3 linked regions of the Macaca fascicularis genome follow. The protein of the gene in region 1 interacts with the protein of each later gene in a biochemical or structural test. Links are inferred from orthologs where the notes say so. Each region holds a gene or a part of one and is shown in the gene's direction. Other genes may lie near its edges.

What was found. The genes of interacting proteins can lie anywhere in the genome.
Region 2: the proteins of UBE2D1 (region 1) and TRIM22 form a complex in vitro, tested with the Homo sapiens proteins (2 studies listed by BioGRID). The link is inferred for Macaca fascicularis from reciprocal best matches to the Homo sapiens genes UBE2D1 and TRIM22.
Region 3: the proteins of UBE2D1 (region 1) and SIAH2 form a complex in vitro, tested with the Homo sapiens proteins (3 studies listed by BioGRID). The link is inferred for Macaca fascicularis from reciprocal best matches to the Homo sapiens genes UBE2D1 and SIAH2.

The regions. Positions count from the first base shown.
Region 1 is NC_088383.1:88,326,482-88,330,592, reverse strand, and holds the start of UBE2D1 (ubiquitin-conjugating enzyme E2 D1), read left to right. Parts: upstream 1-1,311; 5' UTR 1,312-1,507; coding exon 1,508-1,531; intron 1,532-4,111.
Region 2 is NC_088388.1:68,342,076-68,345,599, reverse strand, and holds part of TRIM22 (E3 ubiquitin-protein ligase TRIM22), read left to right. Parts: intron 1-483; coding exon 484-579; intron 580-1,541; coding exon 1,542-1,772; intron 1,773-3,524. UniProt on the Homo sapiens protein: Interferon-induced E3 ubiquitin ligase that plays important roles in innate and adaptive immunity.
Region 3 is NC_088376.1:53,592,195-53,594,554, reverse strand, and holds the end of SIAH2 (E3 ubiquitin-protein ligase SIAH2), read left to right. Parts: intron 1-265; coding exon 266-823; 3' UTR 824-1,838; downstream 1,839-2,360. UniProt on the Homo sapiens protein: E3 ubiquitin-protein ligase that mediates ubiquitination and subsequent proteasomal degradation of target proteins.

The DNA.
Region 1 (4,111 bases):
CTTTATCCAATCCACCATTAATGAGCACCTAGGTTGACTCCATGTCTTTGCTATTGTGAATAGTACTGATGAACATGTGAGAACATATATCTTTTTGGTGGAATAATTTGTTTTCAGTTGCATATATAACCAGTAATGGGATTGCTGGGTCAAATGGTAGTTTTGTTGTAAGTTCTTTGAGAAATCTCCAAACTGTTTTCCACGATGGCTGAACTAATTTACATTCCCACTAACAGCATATAAATGTTACCTTTTCTCCTCAGCATCACCAACATCTGTTGATGTTTTCACTTTTTTTTTTTTCCTTTTTGAGACAGAGTCTTACTCTGTCGCCCAGGCTGGAGAGCAGTGACTCCATCTCAGCTCACTGCAACCTCCGCCTCCCGGGATTAAGCGGTTCTCCTGCCTCAGTCTCCTGAGTAGCTGGGATTACAGGCGCCCACCACCATGCCCAGGTAATTTTTGTATTTTTAGTAGAGATGGGATTTCACCATGTTGGCCAGTCTGGTCTCGAACTCCCAACCTCAGGTAATCTGCCCGCCTCAGCCTCCCAAAGCCCTAGGATTACAGGCGTGAGCCACTGTGCCCGGCCAAGAAGCCAAGTTTTAATGGGTACACAAGTGCCCAGGAATTGGAGAGTGGGGAGTGTGCGTTGACTATTAGTCAGAGACTGTCAATGGAAGGGAAGGAGTCAACGATGGGAGTGAGAGCTCTGAACTCGGTGTTCGAAGCGGGTAATTTATGGGAGGGGCATACCTATGAGCAGACAATGCACTCAGACACGGAAGATCTGTGCATTGGACAGAAGAGACACCTTTTTCCTCTGCAGTAAGAACCAAGGAGGTAAGTAAGGGGTCTGATAGATATGAGTTTGTGCATGTGTGCTGGGTGAGTAATTGAGATAATTCATATATTTGAGAAAAGACAGTGAAATATTTAAAGGTAAATATAATAAAACCAGCTGTGGCACCTATTGGATAAGGAATTACTAACTGATGATTTAGAAATTCCTTTATGTGCGTTAGGAGCTCATTTGTTATCCCCATTTTACAGATGCGCAGCCCCAGGTTCAGTAACTTGCTCTAAATGAGACTGTAGAGACTAACTCCAGCACCCGGCAGCTCTCACCTTAAGCTGCCTGGCTAAGGTCAGCAGCAAGTAACCTGGCAGCGTCTGGGGGCCTGCGGCCGAGGACAGGGCTGGAACTACACTTCCCAGTATGCCAGGCGGGGCGGGGCGCGGCGGGGAGGGCGCAGGCTCCTTCCCAGAAGCAAAAGCGGAAACAAAAGAGTCTCGCCGGCCTCCCCGCCCGCACACTCGCGCACACTCGCGCTCGGGCGCAGACGGAGCAGGGACCGGCGCCCGGAGCGAGCCAGGGAGCGGCGAACCGGGGACCCACCGCGCGGAGCCAGCTGAGCTGCCAGCGAGCCCAACTCGCGAAGACTCACGCCCCCGAGCCCCGCAGCCGACCCCTGCCGGCCGGTGTCCCCACCGCGATCCCTGATCCATGGCGCTGAAGCGGATTCAGAAAGTGAGTGCCGGGGCCGGGCCTGGGGCTGCGGGGCAGCAGGGCAGCGGCGCCTGCCCACGCTGACTCGGCCAGTGGTCCCGAGAGATATGCAGGGAGAGCACGGGATGGAAGGGTGGGCCGGGGTGCGGGCAGGGAGCTGGAGGCTCGGGCCCGGCCAGCGGGCACCGGACAGGTTAGGTGGGAGCGGGGGCAGATCCCAGGCGGCCGGGGGAGCTTGAAGGCTGGGGGCCCGTGGCGCGCTCGCGCCGGGGCCGCTCCCGGAGCCCCAGGGTAGAGAGCCTCCTCCGCGTCCAGACCGCCCCGAAATCTGTGCTTCACGGTCACGGCTGGGTTTTGCCCTCCATGAGGCTAGTTTTGACCCCTGTCATGCTGTGTTTTCTCCAGGCTGTTTCTTAAGCCTGTCTCTTTTATGTTCTTGCTTACCCGGGCTCCCCGGGAGGGCACGGAAGGTGGGGTGGGCCTGCAGCCTTTCTCCGCGGAGCTGTCGGGTTGGTTCTTTCTCCTCTGCGGTTGGCTCTTGCTCAGTTGCCCGAATGGGCTGGAAAGCCCATTTGCGGCCAAGAAGCCAAGAGAAGGCTCCTGCCCCTTCTATTTTGGTGCCTCTGCTGCTGCCACTTCAGGTCACATAGCTGTAGCGAAAACATAGTTGCTGATACACAACAAGATGACCTCCTGGCTGTGATTCACGGTGAGTCAAGCCAAACAGGTTTTTTTTGCCCCTCATGGTAAACTTAGATGTAAAGTTCGAGACACAACATAAACTGTCGCAAATAGATTGTTTTGATGCTTTGACACATGGGTATAAAATGAGGAAGAAATATGTATCTTCATCCAACAACTGTTCACCCATCTCAACCCTGTGTGTGGAATTGTCTTTTTTTCACAGTATTTATTGCCACCATTTCAGAAGCGAACATCCTTCAGAATTGATATTCGGGCATTTCTTTCTGTTCATTTTTATTTCTTGTTGGTCTGTGTACTGACCCAAGTTTTAGGTTTTACAGTTACAGTTCACACTGGGAACATTGAGAATGTGTTTGTTAAATAGGGAGTGCTTTTCACTAAGTTAAGCAACAATGGTCAGTGTATTTTGTAGTTGTTTCAGAAGAAATTAATGCCCACATTTTTATCTACTTTTTTGACCAGTAGTCCATTATAGCAATAGTAAATGTTAGAGAGTGATAGTGACGTACACATTGTATTCTGACTAGCCACTAGTGGCATCTTTAGGTACAGAGGACAGCAACTTTTAGAGCCTGCCAGTTTTTTATTTTCAAATTCTAAATCTGTTGATCACCTGTTATTTTTTGTCCCATTTAAAGGTCGTCTCATTGTAAAACATACAGTTAACAATCAGCATCAGCATTTATTAAGTTATAATGTTTTCTTGTTTGAAGATAGTTCAGTTACACGTTGTTTTATATAAATATCCTAATTTTGAAGCCTCAGTCGGCCTCTTTACCATAACTTGCATACTTATTAATGACGACGTAATATTGGTTCACATTTGGATCAGAAAATGCACATCTTCCAAGGAAGTTTTCAAATTCTATTTCCTTCTTTCCTAGTTGTGAGAATTTTTCACATGATTTTGCACATACAAGAGCTTTTTAAATTATCACTGTGTTTTTTTAAGAGATGGGGATCTCAGTATGTTGCCCATGCTGGTCTTGAACTCCTGTCCTCCAGAGAGTCTGGGATTACAGGCACAAGTCACCATACCCAACTATAACAATAGCGTTTAAATGCTGTGCAATTTGTCCACAGTAAGTGGATATTCAAAGAAATATGAACATTGTTTGTAAATACCATACTTGGCAGTTCTCGTCAATCACCATGCTGAACTGGTGTATTTGATTTGTATTTATAATGTGTGTGTCCAAATCTTTTCTTTTTAGTATTTATTGGTTATTAGTTTATAGAGTTGTTCAGAAAAAAAAAATTACTTACATGGAATTGATATCAAACATGTGACAAATCGATATTTTGGAGAAGAAATTGGGATCATATACCATCACATCTCTGTGCGTTCATCTTTGGCTTCCCTTTCTGATATCAGGCAAGTTAACTTACACAAGTCTTTCCATTAATCACACATTCAGACCGTTTCCTCAAACCTTAGGGGTGATTATTTTGATTGATTCCCTATTTTTCCTCCTCCTTTATCTACCTCCTTGATTAGAAGCCAATTCTAGGTCAGTTGTGCCGCCTGCCATATGAACAGTTATACCATCTTCTTCTTTGATGTCATCAGTATAGACATTCTTATTTGAATCTTTCATGTTCCAACAAATGAAGATGTATACTAACTTTTGGCCTTTCTTCCTAAGCTCCTATTGAAGTGTTACTATAGTTTTCCTGTACCTAAAGTTGCAGACTGTAGAGCTGTGTGGAACCTCAGATAAGTCTGCCGTAGTGTACTAGAGGGTACCAGCACGGGAACAGCTTCTAGGGTAGTGTCTTAGAATCACCTGAGGGACGTTTTCAGACTGTCGTCACTTCTATAAATGGAGAGGTGTTGAATCCCTCAGATGGGTTGGGGTGGAAAGAAGACTGAGAACCACTGATGTTCTGGCCTGT
Region 2 (3,524 bases), on another chromosome or scaffold:
AGAGCCCTGTGATCTCTTTCCAAACTCTTTACTTAGTTTCTGAAGCCTGAAGGACAGTGCTGCACGTTGCTTTTATTTAAAAGAGTACATTTTTTAGCAAGGAAAAGTTGAATGAATGGAGAATTGCTTTGTAAGATAAGCTTTAATTGCCACTCCGAGAAGAAAGGTGTTTTTGAGAACATGTCTTGTTAGATGTGGCAAAAGTGGCAATGAAAGGAAGTCTTTCCTTAATGCAGGGTCTGCTTTTTCTCTAGGAAAAGAATCAGGCTACTCTTGATAAGGGGATGGTAACTTCCATCATCCAGTAATAAAGAATACGTTCATCTCCTCAGATTTTCCCCCATGCCATAGGTTCTAATCACCAGCCTCACTGTTTCTGTAAACTAGTCCCTTCTGAGAGCCATCCGATTTCTTCCTTGCTATCCTCTATCCAGGTGCTGAGAAAACTCATAACTTTACTCTGGTATAATTTCTTTCTCACAGGAAAAGCTGCAGGCAGCCCTGCAGAAGCTGACAAAGGAGGATCAAGAAGCTGAGAAGCTGGAAGATGACGTCAGACAAGAGAGAACCGTCTGGAAGGCAGGAGGAGACACCTCCTAAGGGATAATTAGACAGGAATCTGGGCAGGACCTTGGGCTCTATCACAAGGAGACCACTTCCCCTTTGCTGTGCTAGAATTAACAATTATAGAAGTCATATGATTAGGTCTCATTTAATTCCTTCCTTGTTGGAGTTTGGGGGCTGGAGAGCAGACATATCATAAATCAACACAATATTTGGAAGTGAAGGCATGGAGGGAAATACCTGTGAAAATGCTTCCTGTGAATCCTGTGTTCCATTTGTGTCATCAAGTTTGAGGCTCCAATCCTTCCAGTAAACAACCTGAGGAAAGACCCAGGATTCCCTGTTTAGGTGGTTTGGGTAGGGGAATTTTTTTTTTTTTTTTTAGACAAGAGTCTCGATTTGTCATCTAGGCTGGAGTGCAGTGGAGTGATCTCGGCTCACTGCAACCTCTGCCTTCCCGGTTCAAGCGATTCTCCTGCCTCAGCCTCCCAAGTAGCTGGGACTACAGGCACGTGCCACCATGCCCGGCTAATTTTTTGTATTTTCAGTAGAGATGGGGTTTCACCATGCTAGCCAGGATGGTCTTGATCTCCTGAGCTCGTGATCCGCCCACCTCTGCATCCCAAAGTGCTGGGATTACAGGCGTGAACCACTGTGCCCGACCAGGTAGAGGGATTTAAGAGAGAGAAAGGCAAGGTTGTTCAGGACAGGTGTCTATAATCCAAGCCTCACCCAAGCATCACATTTTGTCTCAGATTAGGCCTCAATAAAAGACTTGAGTGTATTGCTTTGGAAGGAGTTCCGGTTAAAAAATAGAAAAGCATGGCTTCACCAGAAATTGTGTATTGGCTTTTGCCTCGTATTCCTTTTGAGAACTCCCTGAGGAAAACAGTTCTTATCCTGGCTCCCAGGCTCATACAAAGCAGGCCTTCAACCAGCCAGACTGACTGCCTCTTTCTCTTCTCTTCTCATTCAAGAATTATATCCAGCTCGAGAGACAGAAGATTCTGAAAGGGTTCAATGAAATGAGAGTCATCTTGGACAGTGAGGAGCAGAGAGAGCTGCAAAAGCTGGAGGAAGGTGAGGTGAATGTGCTGGATAACCTGGCAGCAGCTAGAGACCAGCTGGTCCAGCAGAGGCAGGATGCCAGCAAGCTCATCTCAGATCTCCAGCGGAGGTTGAGGGGGTCATCAATAGAGATGCTGCAGGTAAGACTTGGGATGGAGCACCTACATATGAGATTAGGGGAAAAACACAGAGGCTGATTTTCCTTCCCTTCCCAGTCTCTAGGCTTTCTTCTGTGTGGTGACATTAAATGGTTCCTTTGGCCTGGCAGTGCCCCTTTTATGCCCATCATTTCAGGAGTCACAGAGATAATTAAGTGTATGAGTGGCAAAGGAAATTCCCTTTATTATTTACTTATGAGAGGCAGTGTAAAAATTTGAGCTTGGAGAGAAGATTCTTTGTACCATGAGCAAATTCGTTTTAGAACTTCCCCATCACATCAAAAACATTTCTCATGCCTGTTTACAGTCAATATCTGCTTCTACCTCCACCTCCTGGCAACCAATCTGTTTTCTGTCTGTATAGAATTGGCTTCTCTGGACATTTCAATATGAATTGAATTATACAACATGTAGTCTTTTGCATCTGGCATCTTTAATTTAGCATAATATTTTGAGGTTTATTTATATTGCAGTATGTATCAGCATTTTGCTCTTTCTTATTGCTAATACTATTCCATTATCTGAATAAATCATGTTATGTTTGTGTATTCACCAGTTGGTGGCTATATGAATATTTTCCAGTTAGGGACTATTATGAATAATGCTACAGTAAACATTCACTTACATGTCCTCATACAACCATGTTTTCATTTATCTTGAGTAGATTTTAAGAGTGTTATATGTTAAGTTTATGTATAATTTTTAAGTTGTTGTACTATTTTCCAAAGTCGTTACTCATTCTATATGAGTAACAATATAAAAGCTTATAAAAAGTAATATAAAAAGTTTTTAGGTTCTTCACATCCTTTTTAATACTTGATATTTCCTTCTTTTTTTTTTTTTTTGTTTAGTTACAGCCTTTCTAGTGGGAATGTAATGGTATCTCAATGTAGTTTTAATTTGCTTTTTCCTAAAAACTAACACTGCTGAAAAGCTTATTATTTCCACATGTAGATTCTGTACATCTCTTTTTAGAGTTTATCCTATTTTTTATTTTTGGTGCTATTGTGATTTTTTCTATTTCAAATTTCAATTCTTCATTGCTGGCACATAGAAAAGAAATTGACTTTAGTGTTTTAATCATGTATATTGCAACCTTGCTATAATTACTTATTAGTCATAGAAGAGTTTTTTTTAATGTCAATTCTTTGGCATTTTCTACATAGAGAATCATGTCATCTGAGAATAAAGTTAATTATTTCATACTTTGCAGTTTGTATAGTTTTCTTTTCTGTTTTTTTTGTTTGTTTGTTTGTTTTGTTTTGTTTTGTTTTGTTTTGTTTTGTTTTTTGGGAGAAGGAGTCTTGCTCTGTTACCCAGGCTGGAGTGTAGTGGCATGATCTCAGCTCACTGCAACCTTCACCTCCTGGGTTCAAATAATTCCCCCTCCTTAACCTTCCAAGTAGCTGGGACTAGCGCACACTGCCACACCTGGCTAAATTTTTTTTTATATTTTAGTAAAGACAGGGATTCACTGTGTTGCCCAGGCTGGTCTCGAACTCTTGAGCTCAGGCAATCTACCTGCCTTGGCCTCCCAAAGTGCTAGGATTACAGGCATGAGCCACCACGCCCAGCCAGCAGTTTGTATAGTTTTCATGTGTCTTCACTTATTTTATTGCACTAACCAGGACTTCTAGTACAATGTTCAGTAGGCATGGAGAGAGGGGATATCCTTTCCTTTTTCCTGACCTCAGGAGGAAAGTACTCAGTCTCTCATTTCCTGATGTTAGCTAT
Region 3 (2,360 bases), on another chromosome or scaffold:
ACTTCTTATCCTTTTGACAGCAGAACAGGGGGCATGGAAAACAGCATATTTCTGGTTCAGGAAAAGACCCTTGATTTTATGCATGACAGCATTGATGATGAGCAGAGACTGAGACTTTTAGTCTTGAATATTTCACTTGTTTTGAGCAAAAGTAGCCAAGACCAGTTTAAGGCCAGGAAAAGGGAGTAGTTAAGTACTCAGAGAGGGTTGAAGCAATAGAAGTTTTGAGAAGGCCCAATGGCTCAATGCATTTCTTTCTCTGCAGTATGCCACCACGGGCTGTTCCCTGACCCTGCACCATACGGAGAAACCAGAACATGAAGACATCTGTGAATACCGTCCCTACTCCTGCCCTTGTCCTGGTGCCTCCTGCAAGTGGCAGGGGTCCCTGGAAGCTGTGATGTCCCATCTCATGCATGCCCACAAGAGCATTACCACCCTCCAAGGAGAAGACATCGTCTTTCTAGCTACAGACATTAACTTGCCAGGGGCTGTCGACTGGGTGATGATGCAGTCATGTTTTGGCCATCACTTCATGCTGGTGCTGGAGAAACAAGAGAAGTACGAAGGCCACCAGCAGTTTTTTGCCATCGTCCTGCTCATTGGCACCCGCAAGCAAGCTGAGAACTTTGCCTATAGACTGGAGTTGAATGGGAACCGGCGGAGATTGACCTGGGAGGCCACACCCCGGTCGATTCATGACGGTGTGGCTGCGGCCATCATGAACAGCGACTGCCTTGTTTTCGACACAGCCATAGCACATCTTTTTGCAGATAATGGGAACCTTGGAATCAATGTGACTATTTCTACATGTTGTCCATGATGTGACTTTCGTAAACCATCAAAATTATTTGGGCATAGTGCTCTATGTTTAATAAAGGTTTTTATAGATGTTTTATTCCATATGTCTTCACAAGTCAGGACCCACAATTACCCGTGTTTTGTTTGAACAGCAGTTTCCCATCTGGCTTCAACCCAACAAAGTTCATTAACCTGGGATGAATGTGGTTGGCCTGTTGGTAATTTGGAGGCTGTTCTGTGATCTAAAATAACTCTTATTAAATTGTATTTACTCCCTAAACAACACTTGACAGGCTGTTGCACAGGGCTTCTATAGATCAGTGTGTCAGGAATGGGAGGCCCCTTCCTGCCTGCCTTCGCGTATTGGTCCCTTGACATTGACAAAAGCACAGTGACTGTCAGCAGATTCCTTTACTTTTGTTTGTGGGATGTAGGAATTGTTTTAATGCATTTTAAACAGTGTTTCTCAAATAGGATGGCTGGCTAATAGACACTGAATCACCCGGAGTGCTTATCTTAAAATTGCAGATTTAGGGAGCCTGCCAATTTAACAGTCTCATCAGGTGATTCTTTTCAGCAGTAATGTTTGAGAATTACTGGGTTAAATTGTGGGAAAGGGTCCAGATTTTAAAGGTGCTTTAAGGTTGCCCTCTGCCGATACTGTTTGTCTTTCTACTGTTTCATCCCCTAACCTCCCCCAACCCTCAAATTAAAACTAGTAGAACTATAGATCCACATGAACACACGCCTGAGATTTGGTCACTCACCTATGTTTTGGGTGGATTGCCTAGGAAAGAAAGTCATATGGCCATTGATAGTTCTCATGTAATTAGTTTTGCTCACCACTAGTACAGATGACCCGTTTACACATGGCTTCCCTCGGAAGCCCTCGTCGACAGTAGCTGGTGTGAAAGACGAGGTCAGTAGAGTTGGAAAAGCTTTATAACCGGTGTGTCATATGCTTGCTATTTAAAGCTGTGTGTTGGTTTTGTTTTTCTGCCACATTCACTAGTTTTTTAATAAATATTTTCCAAAAATGGATGTTGTGCTTCATTTCCCTAATTGAATAACGGGTATTTATTGAGCATCTACTGTGTGCAAGTGCAGTGAACCTTCATCACTACATCTGGGGTTGGAACTTTCACTGTTTCCACTGTGGAAACAGTCACTGGGCCAAGTCATGGCGTGGGTCCATGACAGCACTGGGGTCCGGGCTCACGTGTCTGAACCACTGAATGTCAGTGCAGCAGGTCTCCTCCCAGGGCTGTCGTTTCTATCTGATGGTGCCAGTAGCTGTGCAAGAAGAGGATTGCTCCTGCTTTACAGAGTCAGAAGGAAGACGCTTGGCCAGTGCTGACATCCAGAGTGCTAGGGTTGATCCATGGTGACCCACTGCCTCAGTCCCAACCCTAAACTCTCAAAAGAATTGAGAGGATTAGGGCCAAATGCTCAGCAAGGATTGAAGGCTGCTTACTTCAGTGTCCCAGTTTCCCTTTTTTGTTGTTGTTGTTGTTTTTGTTTTTGAGACGGAGGCTGGAGTGCAATGGCATGATCTCAGC